Linked DNA regions of Lonchura striata. The protein of the gene in region 1 purifies or fractionates together with the protein of each later gene. This does not show direct contact. Links are inferred from orthologs where the notes say so. Each region holds a gene or a part of one and is shown on either strand. Other genes may lie near its edges. The genes, in order: HADHA and GPC1.

Region 1 (9,940 bases):
CAGATTCCTTCCATGAAAACCTTCAGCCTTCAATTCCTCTCTCCCTTTCCATTCTCACAAAACAGAAGAGATGAAGTAGGAAAAAAAAAAATCAAGGGCATGGCTGCACAAATATCACTCCACTTGAATATAAATTCTTTTGGGAGAGGCGCTGTCAGAAGTGCACCAGCTGGTTAACACTGGAGTGAGCTTTCTGTAGCCTGACAGTGGTTTATTTTAAGTCTAGAATATTTGTGGAAAACATCTTTTGCTAGGAAGCACAAGTCCTTGTCCTGGTCCTTGCACATCTGCTTTAGGTGTTGATCCCTTCAGCATTGCCATGGGAACGTGCCAAGACTGAAGCCAGAAAAATCCTCCAAAATGCTGCAGGAAGCAGAAGCCCATATTCCGACTTCCACTGTGTCCCATCACTGATTCCAGAGTTAATGCCCTGAAAATCAGTTCCAGGCTCACTCCAGCTCAAACACTGTCCAGCACCAGGACACCAACACTCCAGGTGCCCTCAGGACTTTGGATGCACCAGGGAATGGACAACACCCACCCCACAGCCCAGCCTGCTCCTTCCCACTTTCTCTTCTCCCTGTTCCTACCTCAGCTCCCACCCTTCCACTCACCGGCACGTGGCACACGCCTTGAACTGGGAACTGCCTCCATGGCTCAGGGAAAAGCCTTTTTCCAGTCCTGGAGCAGCCCAAGCCCCAGCAGCACGGAGCTCAGGCTGCCTGAGCTGTCCCTGCCAGCTGAGCACGGAGCTGTGACCCGTGAGAAGGGAAACTCCCGGCACACTGAGCTTCCCAAGCCACCCTGGGAACCTGGTGGCACACGGATGTGGCCCAGCAGGTACAGCCAGCCCTGGAGCTCACCTGGCTCCTGACTGCTCCCTGCCTTTGGGCTGCCCCTGAGAGCTTTGCATGCACTTCCCAAGCTTTGCAAGGCAGAACGAGGGTATTCATTCATTAGCAACGGTGGTAGTGTCCTCACAGCAGCTCCAGGGCTGTTTGTTGTGGAGAGCTTCACCAGTTGGAACAAGAATTCCAACCAGCAGCAGCCTGAGAACTCTCTGGAGTTGCCACAAGTCTCCTCCTCAGTGATTGCAGCTCCCTGTCACGTACAAACCTGCTCCAAGGCTGCACGTAACACAGCTGTGATCCCAGAACCAGGAATTGCTCACCAGGATCCCTGAACCGTGGGATTGCTCACCATGATCCTGGAAACATGGGATTGCTCATCATGATCCCAGAACTGTGGGATTGTTCACCATAATCCCAGAACCAGGAATTGCTCACCATGATCCCTGAACCGTGGGATTGCTCACCATGATCCCAGAAACATGGGATTGTTCATCATGATCCCAGAACTGTGGGATTGCTCACCATGATTCCAGAAACGTGGGATTGTTCATCATGATCCCAGAACCATGGGATTGTTCACCATGATCCCAGAACCAGGAATTGCTCATCATGATCCCAGAGCCATGGAATTGCTCACCATGATCCCAGAACCAGGAATTGCTCACCACGATCCCAGAACCAGGAATTGTTCACCATGATCCCAGAACCAGGAATTGTTCATTATGATCCCAGAAACATGGGATTGTTCACCACGATCCCAGAACCATGGGATTGTTCACCATGATCCCAGAACCAGGAATTGCTCACCATGATCCCAGAACCAGGAATTGCTCACCATGATCCCAGAACCAGGAATTGCTCACCATGATCTGCTGTGCCACATGCCGCGCCACAACAATGATTCCAGAACCAGGAATTGCTCACCATAATCCCTGAACCAGGAATTGCTCACCATGATCCCAGAACCAGGAATTGTTCATTATGATCCCAGAAACATGGAATTGTCCACCATGATCCCAGAACCATGGAATTGCTCACCCTGATCCCAGAACCATGGGATTGTTCACCATGATCCCAGAAACAGGAATTGCTCACCATGATCCCAGAACCAGGAATTGTTCATCATGATCCCAGAACCATGGAATTGTTCACCAGGATCCCAGAATCATGGGATTGTTCACCATGATCCCAGAACCAGGAATTGCTCACCATGATCCCAGAACCAGGATTGCTCACCATGATCCCAGAACCAGGAATTGCTCACCCTGATCCCAGAACCAGGAATTGTTCACCATGATCCCAGAACCAGGAATTGCTCACCATGATCCCAGAACCATGGGATTGCTCACCATGATCCCAGAACCAGGCATTGCTCACCATAATCCCTGAACCAGGAATTGCTCACCATGATCCCAGAACCATGGACTTGTTGGATAAGAGCTCTCAGAGCACCGAGTCCAGCTCTGAACCCCGCACTGCTGAGCTCAGGTTTGGGTTTAAACGAAATAGAGCTGGAGTTTGGGTCAACATCAACACCAGACTCTGAGGCCCTTCAAAGTGCTCAAATGTGAGGTTTCCAGAGCTTCCCAGCCAGGCCCTCTGGCCTTCCCAGGGCTCCTGGGGACTCCCTGCCTCGGTGGCCAGGAGGCACCAAGCCAGATCCGTGCAGAGGCAGGAGAGAGCCACAGCCCTGCCCAAGCTGGCAAGGGAGATGCCCCCACAAAATCATGGAATCACTGAATCCCAGGATGGTTTAGATGGGAAGGAATGTTAAAGCTCATCCAGTGCCACCCCTGCCATGGCTGGGACCCCTTCCACTATTCCAGGTGGCTCCAAACCCCAGTGTCCAACCTGGCCTTGGGCACTGCCAGGGATTATCCAGGGGCAGCCCCAGCTGCTCTGGGAATTCCATCCCGGCCCCTCCCTACCCTCACAGGGAACAATTCCTAATTCCCAATCTCCCATCCAGCCCTGCCCTCTGGACACAGCCATTCCCTGGGTCCTGTCCCTCCATTCCTTGTCCCAAATCCCTCTGCAGCTCTCCTGGAGCCCTCCAGGCTCTGAGCTCTCCCCAGAGGATGATTCTTTTCCCAAGGCTGAACATCCCCAATTCTCTCAGCTGAGAAATCATGGAGCACCTGGAGACAGCCTCCCCCCAGGCAAGTGGGACTACGGGGTCACAGGGATGACAGGGATCCCATGGATACACCTGCCTGCCTGGAGGGCAGCCACAGCACCCAGGCTGCCAAGGACATGGGGACACCCTCTCCTTTCCAAGCAGCCACTCGGGGCACTGGGGACAGGCACACGTGTCAGGGCACAAGGACACTCTCTCCCCGTGGCTCAGCTCATGTGCAGGGATCTGACTGGAGGGTGTGTCCCCCCATCAGTGCCAGCTCACTGGGACCCCCCAAGAACTGCTCAGAGATTCCCACAGCGTGTCCCTGTGCAAGGACTGGCACAGCAGGATGTCCCCATGGGGGCACACAACCCCCAGAGACCACAGGACACGGAGGGGACAAACCTCGGGGTGGGGGATGTTTGGGACCTGCCAGGGATCCCCTTGGGTGACTCTGGGGACAAACCCCTCACACGGGGCACAGACACACATGGGGACACCTCCCACCCCACAGCTGCCCCGGGGATCCCCTGTCCCAGTCCCGGCCCTCACAGCCTTCCTGCGAACTCCTCACAGCCATCACCTCAAGAACCCTTTGTGACCCCCAGACACCCCCAACTCCTGCCCCAGCACCATGAAATCCTCTCTGGGACCCCTTGTTCCTCATCCCCTCAATGTCACCCCGGCCCTCGCCCACTTAGCGCGGCTCTCAGTGCCCCCCTGCCCCTCGCCCCCTCAGCGCCACCCCTGCAGCGCCTCCTCACCGTCCCCCCAAAACTTTCTCCTCAGTGAGCCCCATCCCACGCCAATCCTCGCTCCTTTAGCGTCCCCCGAGCCTTCACTGCCCCTTCACTGCCCCCCTGCCCGCCAGCGCTCCCCTTCCCTCAATACCCCCTCAGGCACCTCCCGTCCCTCACCCCCCACTGCCCCCATCCCCCGGTGCTCCCCTCAGGCGGGGGCCCCCGCAGTGCGGCCGCTCCCGCTCCCCGCCGTGCCCTGGCTCACCGCGGGGCGGGGTGTGCCGCGTCGGGCCGGCCCTGGCGGCGGCCGGGAGGCGGCCGAGGCTGCCGATGGCTCGCACCGCCGCCGCCATCTTCGCCGAGGTCGAATGAGGGAGGAGAGGCCGCCGGTGGGGGGGGGGGCCTGACGGCGCACGCCCCGCCCGCCGCGCCCCGCCCGCGCTGCCCGCCGCGCTGCCCGCGCGCTTCGCCGCCGCCGCCGCCCCGCCGCCGCCTCCCGCTCCGCTCTCCGCCGAGCCTCGGGTGGGTGCGACCCGCGCCGGGCCGCAGCGGATTGCGGGAGAGGCCGGGGACGGGCTGCGGGGCGGCGGTAGAGGGAGAGGTGCGGGTCAGGCGGACGCGGGCAGCCCGAGGGTGGCGGGGCGCGGGGTCCTCGCTGGGTGGAGGAGCGGCGGCGGCGGCAGAGCGCGGTGAGGGCGGAGGTGAGCGGACGGAAAGGGACGGGAGCGCACGGGGCGGTCAGGGGCTCCGTCCTGCGTGGACGGCAGCGCGGGGAGGGTGGGAGCAGTCGGGAGGCGGTCCTGAGGAGGAGGGTGGGGGTCAGGCGCGGTGCGGGCTGGAGCAGAGGGTCGGGGGTCTGTCCTCAGCGGGCGGGGAGGGATGAAGGGAGGCCGGGGGTGGGGGCAGATGGAGGGGGGACGTGAGGGGAGTCGGGGGGTTCGTTCTCGATGGAAGTGAGGGGAGGCGGGGGGTTCGTTCTGGGTGGACGTGAGGGGACTCGGGGTTTCCTTTTGGATGGACGAGGAGCAGTGAGGCGAGTCTGGATCATTCTGAATGGACGGGGAGCAGTGAGGGGAGTTGAGGGGTTCGTTCTGGATGTGAGAGGAGTCTGGGTGTTCATTCCAGTTGGAAGTGAGGGAAGTTGGGGGGTTCGTTCTGATGGATGGGGAGACGTGACAGGAGTTGGAGGTTCTTTCTGGATGGAAGTTTGGGGAGTCGGGCAGTTCGTTCCGAATGGGAGTGAGGGGAGTTTTGGTGGGTTCATTCCTGATGGATGGGGTAGGGGGGCTGGGAAAGGGTGAGGAGGTCCCAGGGGGTCAGTGCTGGATGGATGAAAGGACTGAGGGGCTGGTCCTGGGCGGACAGCAGGGGTCGTGAGTTGGCCCTGGGTGGATGAGGGGGTTTGGGGGTGGCTGAGAGCAGCACGGGTGTGTTTGGGGTGGGAGTCCCGGGGTGGAGGTGGCGGTGCTGCGGTGTGAAAGTGTCAGGGGTGTGTGGGGACAGGAAGGGAGCAGGGGCTGTTCATGGAATTGTGGATTATCCTGAGTTGGAAGGGATCCGTGAGGGTCACAGAGCTGTGGAATCCAGGCAAATCCTGGCTCTGCAAGGAGCTTTGTCTTGACGATTTGTGTGGGCAGGGCTGAGCCCTTGGGGTGCCAGGGGAGCACTGGCTCCCAAAAATGAGGGAGTTTGGGGTGTTTTGAAGGGGCAGGAACGGGGGTGCACCGGGAGGAGATGGCTGTGCAGTGTGGGAGGGAGGAGGAGGTTACACCTGGGAGAAACTTCTGTCAGCTGGGCAGGGAAAATTTAGGGGAAAACTTCAGTCAGGTGTGGGGAGGGAGGTTGGCAGAGGTGGAGGAGGAGCAGGATGCTTTGGAAAGGTCTGGTTTTGGGATTTTTGTTGGCAGGAGGAGCCTGGGGCTGGGAAGGGTCACATTCCAGGTGTGGAGCTGCAGCTGGGAGGTGTCAAAGGGGGTGACTGGCAGCTTGTGCTGAGTTATGGGGAACTGCAGAGGGCTGGGTTTGGGACTGTGGGTGTTCCTGTGCCCCTCCATGGCAAAACTCTGTGCTTGGGAGAGAAAGTGCCAGGATTTGAACCCACAAAGTGTGACAGAGGGAGATGAATGTTGACATGGATCAAGCAAAGTCCTGGAGCTGTGAGGGCCATCTCGGCAATAAACTGCAGATGAGGGTTTGTTTATAGGGAAACCCGATTTGGGAGAGCTTCAGAGGGGTTTTTGGGGGCGAACTTGCTGTGTTTGCTGTGGGGATGCACAGCAGGATCCTCAGGCTGGCACCAGGGGCCAACGAGGGGCAGGGGTGCCAAGGACACTGCTGGTGTCAGGAGGTGCTGCTGGCAGCAGGGCTGCCTGGGCACTGGGACAATTTTCCAGTGGGAAGTGGAGGAGCAGTTCCTGGGAGGGAATTGAGAAGCTCACAGGGCGGTGTTTATTCACAGGCACAAGCGTGGTGGGAGGTGATTCCCTGTGCTGCTGCTGCCCTTGCAGTGTGTGCCCCTCACCTTGCTGGCTCTGTGTGAGGCAGGCAGGACGCTTCCCTTGGGATTGTTCTGGACACAGCAGCTTGGACTGAGCCCAGCCTTTCCCTAGATCCCAAAATGAGTTCCATGCTGAGCTCTGCCCTGCGGAACCTCCCCGTGTCCTCAGCCTGGGCTGCTGGGGCCTGTGAGTATCTTTAGATTTTATTGGTGGCCGTAAACCTCTGGTTGAAGTGTTGGGTTTGGAATGGATGCTGGGGTCTGAATCTATACCCGTTCTCACCTTTAAAAGACTGACATTTTTTACTTTTTAATCCTAATTACATTGTTGCCTTGTTTGTCCCTTCCTGCATCATATGGGGAGGAGTCTTGAGTTAACAGTTAACAGAAAGTGTACCAGGTTTCTGCACAGAGTAAACCACCCAACACCCCACAGGTGCTCAGGTGTCTTAGAGTGACACTATCTGCTTTCCTAACCCTTCTTGCAGAGACTAGAACTGTTTCTGACATTTTTCTGGTATTTTTTCCCCTTTCTTGTTTTCCAGTTACTCGATCACTCAGCTGCTCCTCGCCGTTCCAAGCTGCAGGTAAGGAGGAAACACCAGAATCTCAGTGGGTCTGTGCTAGACAGGGGTGTTTTGGAAGCTGCCTCCACTTCCCACAGTCTTGTTCCACTTAAATCTTAGAAATGGTGCAGAATGCAGGGTGGTTCGGGTGTTCCTGAAAAGCTGCAAGCAAGGAAAACTTCAGGCAAAGCAGTATTTGCAGCAGAGTCCTCTCATTTGCTGAGTGCCCTGGCGCCCAGTGCCATTCCCAGTTTGCTCCCAGTGGCCATTCCCAGTCTGCCCCCAGCTCCCAGTGCCATTCCCAGTCTGCCCCCAGCTCCCAGTGCCATTCCTAGTCTGCTCCCATGCCCATTCCTAGTCTGCCCCCAGCTCCCAGTGCCATTCCCAGTCTGCTCCCAGTGCCATTCCTAGTCTGCTCCCAGTGCCCATTCCCAGTCTGCCCCCAGCTCCCAGTGCCATTCCTAGTCTGCTTCCATGCCCATTCCTAGTCTGCCCCCAGCTCCCAGTGCCATTCCTAGTCTGCTCCCATGCCCATTCCTAGTCTGCCCCCAGCTCCCAGTGCCATTCCTAGTCTGCTCCCAGTGCCATTCCTAGTCTGCTCCCATGCCCATTCCCAGTCTGCCCCCAGCTCCCAGTGCCATTCCCAGTGTGCTCCCAGGGCCATTCCCAGTCTGCCCCCAGCTCCCAGGGCCATTCCCAGTCTGCCCCCAGCTCCCAGGGCCATTCCCAGTCTGCCCCCAGCTCCCAGTGCTATTCCCAGGCTGCTCCCAGTGCCCATTCTCAGTCTGCCCCTGGCTCCCAGTGCCCGTTCCCAGTTTGCCCCAGCTCCCAGCACCATTCCCAGTTTTTAGTCTCAGCCCACAGTGAGTGGCTGGGGTGATCCACGCTCTGGGTTCACTGTGGGGGTTGCTCAGGTGATTCATGCTTTGGGATTTTGGGAACAGGCCTGGACAGCAGCTCCCCATCATCGCCAGGCTTTGGGAAGAGCCTGAAGGAATCTCCAGACAGTGCTGGAGTTTTGTCCTGGCACTGGCCTGTGGAATGATGCCAGGTCATGACATCCCTTGTTTTGAACCTCTCCCACTGGGGAGAGAATTTCTTCCCATTAGGAAGAAATTTCTTCCCATTAGGAAGAAATTCTTGGCTGTGAGGATGATGAGGCACAGGCCCCATCCCTGGAAGTGTTCCAGGCTCAGTTGGATGGAGCTTGGAGCAACCTGGGATAGCAGGAGGTGTCCCTGTCCATGGCAGGGGTGCAATGGATGAGCTTTGAGGTCCCTTCCTACCCAAACCATTCCATGATTCCAGGATTCCTACCTTCCCTGCCTTTCACTTACACACCAAAAAAGGACAATTTCCTTTGTTTTCTAGAAGCTTTGCAGGATCTATATGAAAATTGCTGATATTCTTGTCACCATCACTTCTCTCTTCCCAGTTCAGCCAAAGACTAAGAAGACCTTGGGCAAAACTGGGGTGAAGAATGTGGTGGTGGTGGAGGGTGTCCGCATTCCCTTTCTGCAGTCTGGCACCACGTGAGTATCAGAGACCAGTGAAACCCAGCAAGCACGCCCTGGTTTGGTTAAAACTCAACTCTTTCTGTGAAAAACCTCACTTGTTCCTTTGAATGTAGTTATTCTTGGGCCTAGAGGCTCAGGAGGGGCCCTGAGTTGGGCTGCTGCAGTTATTCCAGTGTATTTAGTGCAGGAATGTGGTTTGAAGAAGGTTGTCAGTGTGTGTATGAATCCCAGGAAGGGTAAGGATTTATGGAGCATGTCTAGAGGAAGCAGTTGGAGAATTTATAGCAGAGGAAGCAACAAGTTTGACAGAACTGGCAGGACAGGGGCCAAGAATCTGCTGTAGGCTCTTCTTCCTGGATTGCTGTGCCACCAAATCCACAGCTGAACTAAAGCCACACCTGACTGTTATGGAGACAGGATGGAGAAAGGATTTTCTTATGTGCTCCCTGCTGCTTTTCTGTGGGTTTATAGCAGTGATTACAGCCCCTCTGCTCTAGAGGCAGGCTGGGAGAGCTGGGGGGGCTCACCTGGAGAGGAGAAGGATCCAGGGAGAGCTGGGGGGGCTCACCTGGAGAGGAGAAGGATCCAGGGAGAGCTGGGGGGGCTCACCTGGAGAGGAGAAGGATCCAGGGAGAGCTCAGAGCCCCTGGCAGGGCCTGGAGGGGCTCCAGGAGAGCTGCAGAGGGACTGGGGACAAGGATGGAGGGACAGGAGCCAGGGAATGGCTTCAAAGTGGAAAAGGGATTTGGGTGGGATATTGGGAAGGAATTTTTGGCTGTGAGGAGGTGAGGCCCTGGCACAGGATGCCCAGAGCACTGTGGCTGCCCCTGGATCCCTGGCAGTGCCCAAGGCCAGGTTGGACATTGGGGTTTGGAGCCACCTGGAATAGTGGAAGGTGTCCCTGCCGTGGCAGGGCTGGCACTGAATGAGATTTAGTGTCTCTTCCAACCCAAACCAATCTGTGACTCCTTGAAATGTTTGCTCAGAGGCTCAGCGGAGCATTTCTGCTCCATCCCCAGTTCTTGCTGCTCACAGGAGAATCCTGTCCTGATTTCTGTGCTGAGAATTCTGCACTGATTTCTCACACCTCTGAGTTTCTTCCTCTGCTCTTCACCTTCCAGGTATGCTGATCTGATGCCACATGACTTAGCCAGAGCAGCACTGCAGTAAGTAAATGGATCACTGGGAGGGCTCTGAGTTCTTGTCAAACTGCTGAGGTTTCAGGCTTGCAGAGCCAAGGCTCTGGGCTTGGCTCTGAACAGCTCAGGTGCTTCATTTTTCCTGGCCTCCCTCCACAGCAGTGGGTGGCTTAAGCAGTGGGGTTTATATTTTTGTTGGGATTCTCAGTAGCTTGGTGTTGATGCAAAGAGATGCTGGTGGTGACAAATTTTAGTGAATTTCTGTAGTTTTTCAAAGACAACAGACCTGCTGTTGAAGTGGGAAAAACAACCTGGGCAACACAGGAAATGAAGTGACTACAAGGATGTTGAGCTAATTCTGTGACCCTCCTGTTCTGAGGGTCATTAGCAGTGGGTTTGTTTTATTGAGAAGCAGAGCAGAGTGCTCTGGAGAGGAGAGAAGGCTTGGAGAAGCCTGGAGATGGCTGCCCCTGGATCCCTGGAAGTGTCCAAGGCCAGGCTGGATGGGGTT
Region 2 (9,542 bases), on another chromosome or scaffold:
CAAAGAAGTCTGGGATGCTTATCCCTCACCCATTTGCCTTGGACCAGTGCTCAGGAACAGGCTGTAGAGCTGGCATTCCCAGGAACAGAGTGTGCTCCTGCTCAGTGCCACAGACAGATGACAATGACAATGAGGGACGGTTTTCACCTGAAAAATCTCTTTCAAACCAGTTAACTTCAGGACATAACCTCTTGAATTATAAGAGGAAATCATCTACTTGCAACTTTTGCAGGAAGTGGGAAGGAATCTTCTACACATCACCATAGGGGCATGCTGAAAGGACAGATTTTTCATCTAGTTTTGGGGACCATTTTGAGGCATTTCATACTATTAAAGCTGTGCTTATAACACATAAATCAGATTCAAGTGCATGTCGATACTCTTTATTCATTGCTGCATATGTTTTCGAGAGTGGGAAAAGCTTTACTGAAAGTTCCCAGAAAGGATAAATGTACTTCCTGGGGCAGACCCAATTAACAGGAGTTTCTCTAACGAGTTTATGGCATTTATTTCATTTTTGGCCTTTAAGACTTCTTTCTACTGGGAAATCTCTGACTCTTATATAACACAAGTACAGTCTGGCAGGGTGGAGTCATTGGTAAGAGGTCATTAAGCAATACATTGCTTTAAGTTGCTGCTGTAAAATTGTGTGGTTCACTTCAAAACACAGCACAGAGTTGCAATTACCTGCATTAGCCTGATTCTCTGTCTGAAATTACTCAGTTGTTCCTAATATTCCTAGTACGAGCCACACTGGGGAAATGAAAATTCCATTTGAAGGGAATTGGTCTGTTCCACCAAAGGTCAAAGAGCAGCTTGGCACAGCCTTGGCATACACTGCTGCACTTGTCCTCTGTGCAACCCCTCTTCCTCTGCTCCTCAGCATCCAGAATTGTGATTGTCACTGCCCTGGGGCCTCAGTCTGGCTCCCTCAGGACCTGGGAAGGTCTTGAGGCTCTGTACATCTACTGAACGCTATCCCTGATGAATTAATCCGAGCACACAAATCCCAAAAGGTCTTCGTATTTTGGGAAGGCAAATGGTGTCTTACAAAGTCAACTGAGATCAAGCTGGATTTGCCAGTTGTACATAGATGCCCCAGCAGTTTGAAGGGATTGATCTGATATTTTTGGTGATCAAAACAACCTGACACGTGCTGTTTGTGCATGTCAGGGAAGCTTCCTGGGGGAACGTGAGCAGAGGGGAGGAGAAGATGCCGGATTTCCAGTGAAGGGAGAGCCAGGGAAGAAGTAAGTAGCTGCAGATAGCAAGGTGTAATCTAGTAAATCCTCTGAATAACTTAATTAGATTTGATTCAGCAAAACACATGTCCAGCTTCTGCTGAACACCACTCAGTGTTGGGGAGGCAGGGGCTTTTATGAATTCTGCAGGAAACTGCTCTTGCAGAGATTAAAGGAATTGGGCAGAAGAGGTACTGAGATATTCCTGCTTTGATGAAGATTTTTAATTTAAAGGTGCCAGATTTGCTGATGCTGCCAGAGAATCAAAAGTATCATAAACTGGTAAGGGAAAGGGGCAAAGGGTTTCATTATGTGAAGCTGGGACGAGAGAGGAACCTGTAGCCCAGTCAGGCTTTGCCCATCTCTTTTCCTTCCCCACTCCCCACGCTGTGTGAACTTTGCACTTGATGCATAGGGAAAAAAGTAGAAACACCACTGAATTCAAGAGAGAATGCACTATTCTTTTATGTGGCACCAAAGATACAGGGCAATTTTGAATTCTGGGTTTTTTCCTGTTTAGGTTTTGCTGTCAGACTCCAGGTTGCTGTAACTCAGCAGAGGTCCATTTTGGAACCAGCTGGAAGTCTGGTGGGTGTAATTGCATTGCTGCCTGTACAATTCTTGACTTGCATCAAGGTGAAAAAGAGAGGCAAGTCCACTGCATTGCAAAAATTTTGGAAAGTGCTAGAGAAACAAAGATGTCTCTGTGAAAACTGAGGTTGTAGAAAGCCTCTCTGTTCACTTCTTGTTTTAAAGGGTAGCTTTCCCCACTTGTGCCAGACGATTTGGCTCTTCTTCATCCTTCTTGCTCCATAATGCTTGGATCAGCTTTTCAGTGGGCAGTGCTTTTTGTCGGGACTGTCAGGAGGTGATCTCCAGAGCAGGATGGATTTTCTGTCTTCCTTTGGCTATCTTGCTGGCTGGCTGTGTGCTTTTTGCCTCCTCTGCATTTTGTCTACTCATCTTTGTGTTTTACTCTGCCTTTTCGTATCTTTCCCAGTTCTAGGTCTTTCTGACTGTTTTTGGACAATCTTTTGTTTACTTTTTGCCAAGTTCCATTCTTTTAGCTGAGGATGTTCAGAAACTGGATCTGGTCCTCAGATATAGACAATCCAATTTATAATGGATGCCAAAAATACATTTTCATCATGACACTTTGAGGATGTTTATTTCAATTTACTTAAAATGTGCCTAGGTCAAATCCTGCATGTGTATACAAACTTCACAGCAAAAAGAGACGTGCCTCACCACTTAAGATTTCTTTGAGCAGGATTTGATCCTGCACAGACTTGCAGATTTCTGTTGAAGAGCTCATATCAGCTTGTGCTCATTTTAAATTTGTCTACTTATAAGCTTCTCATTATGATAGTATGTCAGCATCCCAAAGGCAGGTGGTTGGGTAAAAAACACTCTTAGCCCTGTTTGGAGTTAAATGACCTGCTGGTGGTCATTTAATGCCTGAGGTTCACAGCAGAGCTTGTAGCTGAGCTGTAGTTCTGAGAAGAGCTGGAGCTGGCAGTGTGAGCTGTGCTGGGCTGGCAGCCTGGTGTCTCAGCTGGGAACAGCAGCGAGCGTGCTGCACTCCCAGGATTTTATCAGCAGTGACGTGACCCCAGTCCCTGCTGCAGGCACTGCCACCCAGCCAGGGAAGTGAGATGTATGGCAAGAAGGGAAATACTCGGGCCTGTGAAAAATCTGTAGCTCAGGGGATGGCTCCAAGGCCAGAGCCCAAGGGCTGCAGTCCCAGCTCTTCCATTGCCAGCTGCTGTGTGAGTCCACAGAGCTTTGTGCTGCAACCTTGGGGTGCAGCCACAGCTCAGAGAGCTTACCCAAAGTCACTACAGGCAGAGCTGAAAGTATATGCCACACGTATTCAATGGCAACACGTAGCCGATCCCAGGATTTGAGAAGGAAAAGAGGAAATTCGGTGCTATTTTGGTCTCCTGTATCACCCACCCCAAGTCATTCTGTGCAGCCAGACCAGATAAAAGGTTTATGACTCTGCCTTTCTTCTCTATCAAGTACTTTGTGTCTTTGGAGTTCACATTCCTGGAGTTCGTTCGCCTCAGCAGACTCAAGTGACACTGTTGTTACCCGTGTGTCTGCAAGTATTTGATTTTCACTCAGGTTTTCCAAGAGGAGGAGGTGTTCCTCCAGTCATGGCAGTGTAGGTACAGATTCCTCTGCTGCTTGTTTTCTGCCGTTGTTGTACTCGGATTAGTTAGATGAGACTTCTGACATGGATCTTCAAGTGATATGTTCAAAGCCTGGGGAGAGGAAAGGGCTATGGCTATAAAATGAAAATAAATCCCCAGGAGTATGGGCTGAAATAACCTCATGACACATAACCTACTTGGTAACCTCTTAAGTGTGCAGTACTTTTGCATTTACAAAAGAGTTTTCATTTAAAAACAGGGTAAGTCAGGCTTCATCCATGGCAGATTTTTCCCCACACAGCAAGCTCCCAGCTGAGGCATATTTTGGGACTCTGTAAGCCTCGGGTTTCTAAACTAAGAGATGATACAAGAGGCCAAAAGGCACAATGTCATCTGCAAGAGAATTAAGATTTGGACTGTATGGGTGTATCTGACTCAAAGCTATTAACTTTTGGTGGTAATGATGTGTCATCTCAGTTATGATCTTCATTACAAAATTCTCCCTGTCTTTGCAGGGGTTTTCCCTGTCCTCTCCATCTGCTTTCATAGATGAATCTAGGAAGTTTTAAGAGGAAATAATTCGGTGATTTTATAGGAAAGCAGCAACTTTCCCCTACTGCCATCCTGCTACTCCCCATGGCTCCTGTTTTGCAGTCACTTCTCCCATTCCTCAGGATAATAAGCAGTTCTGAAGCAATGGGATGAACATCACCAGTTTCCCATGAAGTTTCTCACATCTGGGTGACTGCCTAGTCCAAAAGCTACGATCTCTCTTAAATGTTGCTGCGTTTTGGGGGGGCACAGTGATGGAGTTTGTGTGCAATTTCTGCAATCTTGTAAGGTTTAAGCCCACAAGTGCTCCAGCTGAGGCACGGGCAGACTCCCTCCCCCTTTTCACAGAGAACAACTGCTCTCCAAAGGCTCAGGAGCGACCGCTGGGTCTTCTGGCTGTCGCGAACAGAGTCAGACGCCGGCCAAAAGCCTGCAAGCTCATTTGGAGCAGCACACGGGCATTGCCTTGACGCACAGGTGATCGCATACGTCTCAGTTCTGTGGGAAGCAGCTCAAAACGCGGCTGGCAGAGCTGCAGAGCACCAGCTTCGGGAGCTGGCAGGCTGTTGGATGAAGTAAACTCCAAAGCTGAGAATTTGTCGTAGACATTTGCCTCTCTTCCCACATCTGCTCTTAAAGGGGCACTTTCAGCCTTCCCAGGACCTTGCTGGGACTCTCCGGCTCTCAGCTGAACTGCGTTCTCCTCGCCGCTCTAAGTGTGGAACGATTTAAGTCTTTACGCGGCCGTTGTCCCGCCCCGCTGGGGGAACCCCGGGCAAAGCACCGGGGCCCGCCGCAGACAAAGAAGGGCTCGCTGCGCGCTGTCCTTGCCCAAGGACGGCGGGCGGCCCCGGAGCGCCGTGCGCGCCCTGCCCGCCCGGGGATGCTCGGGGATGCCGGGGATGCCCGGGATGCTCGGGGATGCCGGGGATGCTCGGGGATGCTCGGGGCGCTCCGGCGGCTCCGGGCGCCGCGCAGCGCCCGCGGCGGGGGCGCGGGGCGGGGCGGGGGCTGCGCCCCGCGCGGGATTGGCGCGGGCCGCGTGATGCCACGTCCGGCGGGGGAAGCCCTGCCCGCCCGGAGCCGCCCCGCCGCCGCTCGGCGCGCAGGTGGAGCGGAGCCGGCACAGCCCAGCCCAGCCCGGCCCGGCCCCGCCGCGGGAGCAGCCCCGCAGCCCGCCCCGCGCCCCGCCCCGCCGCGCTCCGCCCGGCCCGGCGGCGCCGCAGCCGGCAGCATCGCGGCGGGACTGCCCGGGGATGCGGCCGCGCTAAGAACAAAAGCCCTCAGCGCGCTCTCGCTCCAGGGCTCTGAAGCGGCGCGGCCGAACTTGGATCTCTGCCCCCCTCGGCCGAGCCGCGGCGGCGTCCGGGGCCGAACTCGCCGTTGCCTTCCCCGCACGCCGCGGGCAGCCGGGCTCGCCCGCCGCCCTCGCCCGCCCGTCCCGCCGGGGCTGCCCGCGGAGGGGCCGCACCCGGCCGCCCCCGCGCCGCGGGACCTTGGCTTTGCCCTTCGCTCGGCAGGTGGCGGGGCCAGCGGAGAAGGATGCGTGTCTTCCCGTGGGGATTTTGGCTGCTGTGTGTCGCCTCCGCCCCGGCTCGCGGTGACAGCGGCAGCAAGGCGAGGAGCTGCGCCGAGGTCCGGCAGCTGTATGGAGCCAAGGGCTTCAGCCTCAGCGGCGTGCCCCAGGCCGAGATCTCCGGTGAGTGCCGCGGGGCGCCGGGGGCGCGGTGCCCGGGCCGGGGCCGCTGCCAGCCGGGAGATGCCCGGGCACGGCTGGGAGCCGCGGGCTGGGGAGCGCTCGCCGCCCCACGCTGGAGTTTGTCTCGGCTCGTGGGCGGCCAGAAGTCGGAGCGGGGAGGTTTCCCCGGAGCCGGGCTGCCCTGCCGCTCTCAGCGCCGCCGGCAGCCCTGCCCTGCCCGCAGAGGGGCTCTCCCCGGCGCTGGCGATGCGAACGGAGCTGCGAGGGGGGCTGGTCGCGCCAAGTGTTCAGCGGTGGTTCTTTCTTTTTTCTCATTGTCTCGTTGCTTCTGTGCTGAGTACAACTGAAACGGGTTTCAGGGTTTTGATTCGGAAATCGGAATAATCGGAGTGTAGTGGGTTTCGGTGTCAGAGGTGGAAAGCGCCACAAGGTTGTGAGAGAGGAATTGATCTATTTAAATCTTCTTCTGGATGGGAAGCAAACGTGTAAATGATATTGGCTACTTAATAAAAATGAAGCAGGAGTAAAATGACCGCGTCAAACGTGAAGTGCAGGGGAAACCTGTGTAACCTACGCTAGAGTGTGTCCTCTTGCTTTCATTCTGGCTTTAGATAAATCTTGGTTGATTTCCTCCTCTTTGTAGAAACAACTGAAATAGCAAGGAATATTCAAGGTCTGGTTTGTGTGGGTTTGGGTTTTTTTCTTTGAAGGCTTGGGGAAAATATGCTGAGGCATTGTAGGGTTTTCTAAAATTCTCATCAAAGTTTTGATACACCAACTTGTGACCCATATCCGAGAGCCTTCTCCTCACTTGTGGGAGCTTCCTCCTTCAGACAAAGCATAAAACATGCAGGCGTACGTGCCAGAGCCAACCCACAGGGACACCCCAGTAAAACTGCAGTTTGTACTGCACATCTAAGCTACACAATGCCTTATGCTGAATATTTCATCAGGTAATTTTTCAGAGAAACCAATTTGTTGTCTGACCAATGAAAGGAGAAGGCTGAACCATATACATCCCTCATAAATGCGAATAAATTAATGCCTTCTTTGTCAAGTTACAACTGAGAGTAAATTTCCAAAGTAAGACGAGCAGCCCTCAAAGTTAAACAGTGGGGAGTTTCAGAACCGTTTGAACATCACTATTAATGGCATAGCACTTCAGCTGAGCAAGAAAGCGGCTTTTTATGAGTTTGCATCTCATTATTGCAGATGTGAATACATTAGCTGTCGTGTTTCAAGTGGGAAGTTCTTGGAAGGCTGAATGTTTACAAACACGCTGGAGGTGGCTGCAGCACTGCGCACAGGGATAGTACTACGGGCAGCACCGAGGCTCGCAGCAGCTGCGGTTAAAAGGATCACGTATCGCAGGTCAGCTGCCAGTAAAACACCTTGTACCTGCAAATTGTTGAGGTTCCAGGAGTGTCAGGACACAGATTTCCAGGATGCAGGAGTTCTGTTTCCTGCTGTGCGTTGGTACGAGCATACACACTGGCAGTCACAAGCCACAGTGGTTAAAATTGGAGTATCAAACCGGAGTCTCTGGCTGTTACTGCAGACAGGGAAACTCTGTAGATAAATGCCATGAAAACTTGAGGAATACTGCATGGAAAGTAATGTGAAGAAGTGCTTGGAGGAAGAAGGTCCCACACATAGAGCCGCTGCTGCTACCATTAGCCCAGTGTTTCAGACAGCTGCCAGACTAGATGATTTTCATTGGTAATTACCTCCTGACCGATGCACATTCAGGAATGCATTTTTGTGTCAGTGTGTTACTTGCCCAGTGCAGTTAAAACATCAGTGAGCGTAGATATAACCTTAGAAACGTCCTGACAAAGCAGTGTTCTGTATCCTCTTTGCTTTTTAGCAGCTGTGCAGGTTAATGCAAAGGTTGGTGCCAGTTTTGCTTGTCTCCAAGAAGAGGCATCTCAAGAGCCTCCTTGCAGTATCCTTATGTGTACCAAGTACAGGACCATGCAGTTTATAATTCCACATTTGCTCGTTGTTTCAGGCTGGTTTCAGTGGCAGTGGTTCAGCTTGCTGTCACTTGAATGGAGCCTTCTCAGGTGACACCACTGACACCTGTGAATGCATCCCCAGGCATACAGCTGAGGAGGGGCAGGTGTCTTCTGCTGTGTCTCAAGTGAAGGGAGAGGAAAGGGTCTTAGGTTGCCAGGGCAAGTCAGATGAGATATTAGAAAGAAATGTTCACAGAAAGAGTAGCTGTGCATTAGGCTGAGCTGGTGGAATCACTCAGTGATGTGCATTAGGCTGAGCTGGTGTAATCACTCAGTGATGTGGATAAGGGGCTGTTATGGTGGTGCTGGGTTGATGACTGGATGAGATTATAGTGCAGGCTTCCAACTTTGGTGATTCTGTGGTTGGGCAGCTTTTGGATTAGTTAAGAGATGTTGATGAACTGAGATCAATGTTGTCTCCTATTGGACTATGCTGAAGTTTCCTGATGGTGGCCTTCTTCATGTTTTAAGAGCTGCCCCATGAATCATGTTTTTATTTTATTTCTGAGCTGCCTAGAGACAAAATCCCTTTCCATTGTCCCTCTCTAAGGAGACCTCGCTGTTCCTTCCCTCCACTGCTTGCCCTGAAGCAAAGGGGAACATTAATTTCTTAGCCCTATGACCCCAAAGTGGTGCTGACCTTGCTCCTGTCTGCCTGTGCCTGGCTCCAGGCACTGCTTGGGGTGTGTTGGTGTCACAGCAGCCCAGCCCCAGGAGCCAAACCCCACACTGCACCCCCAGAGCTGCCCTGCAGAAGGAGTTCAGTGAGCTCCCAGCACGCAGGCTCTGACTCAGACTGAGATTGGCTGTGTTTGTGTTGGGTTTAGAACACTCACTGCACGCTTTACACCTTCTAATCTGTATTCTTAGTTATGATTTAAGAGGATTATGAATAATCTAGTGTCTCCACAGCTCACCAGAAGGTAGTCCCTGCTTGTGGCTGCATGGATCAGCTGGAGAAGAGTCCCACAGTTATTAGCTGGCTAATAGATAAGCATCTGATGCAGGGATAGACTCTTGGCTTACCAGATTTCTCATGAACCACCTAGACAGGGTATCCTGGTTTTTTGCTAATGTTGTACAATGCCTTTAACATGTCTAAGCACTTTAAATGTGTCAGGTGCTGTTATTAAGTGTGTTTAGGGAGTACACAAGGTGTTATATCTCAGTACTTTGAAGTCAATGGCAAAATTCCCGAACACGATAGCAGTGTCTGCTCGTGTTAGCAATCCTGACAGACAGCTGTGCACCCAGAGTCTTGGGTGAAGATCTGCCTACCAGAAAGTTTCTAATGCTGGGGGTAAAGCCCCCTACTCCTTGAGTTTGGGAAAGTTACACCACTTGCTCCCATGGGATGTGCTACTAGCTCGATCGCAGCTTTCCTGCGTGTTGGGAGAGCGTTCCCACTCTCCTTTTTGATGACCCACACCCCCTTTCTCTGATTGCTACAAAATAAGGGAAACCTTATTGTAAGTTGGAGAGCTTCCAGTGTTTTCGTTTCCTCTCGAGTTTTCTGGAGGTGGCAGCTGTTCCTGCTGTCTCACATTCCTGCAGGATCCCACTGCGGGTCCCTGCTCTGGTGGTGAAGGGGAGGCATACCCTGCTCTAGGGTGCTTCTTAGTGCCCCTCTTAGGGACTGGTTACCTCAGGCTCACAGCATGGCTTGTGATAGAGTGAGCCCTCACCACCACGAAATACTGCCCTGTGAGGGGGGTATCCCGTTTTCTCTGACTTGTGGCAGTGTCTTGGGGTTACTGATGTTGGGTGGGTGACTGCTCCCCAGTATCTCGAGCACAGGTAGTTCCCTCATGGGCTGGAGAAGACCTAAGGGTTGTGATTTGATGTGAATGTGCTTGGCCCTTGTTCGCTGTTTGGT

Evidence for each region.
Region 2: the proteins of HADHA (region 1) and GPC1 purify together in Homo sapiens (co-immunoprecipitation; 3 studies listed by BioGRID and IntAct, with this or other methods). This does not show direct contact. The link is inferred for Lonchura striata from reciprocal best matches to the Homo sapiens genes HADHA and GPC1.

The regions. Positions count from the first base shown.
Region 1 is NC_134605.1:113,197,340-113,207,279, reverse strand, and holds the start of HADHA (trifunctional enzyme subunit alpha, mitochondrial), read right to left. Parts: upstream 4,101-9,940; 5' UTR 4,064-4,100; coding exon 3,976-4,063; intron 1-3,975. Other genes in the region: HADHB (trifunctional enzyme subunit beta, mitochondrial), read left to right, coding at 6,328-6,394, 6,753-6,794, 8,209-8,305, 9,412-9,456. UniProt on the Homo sapiens protein: Mitochondrial trifunctional enzyme catalyzes the last three of the four reactions of the mitochondrial beta-oxidation pathway.
Region 2 is NC_134612.1:2,666,934-2,676,475, forward strand, and holds the start of GPC1 (glypican-1), read left to right. Parts: upstream 1-5,378; 5' UTR 5,379-5,491; coding exon 5,492-5,648; intron 5,649-9,542. UniProt on the Homo sapiens protein: Cell surface proteoglycan that bears heparan sulfate. Binds, via the heparan sulfate side chains, alpha-4 (V) collagen and participates in Schwann cell myelination.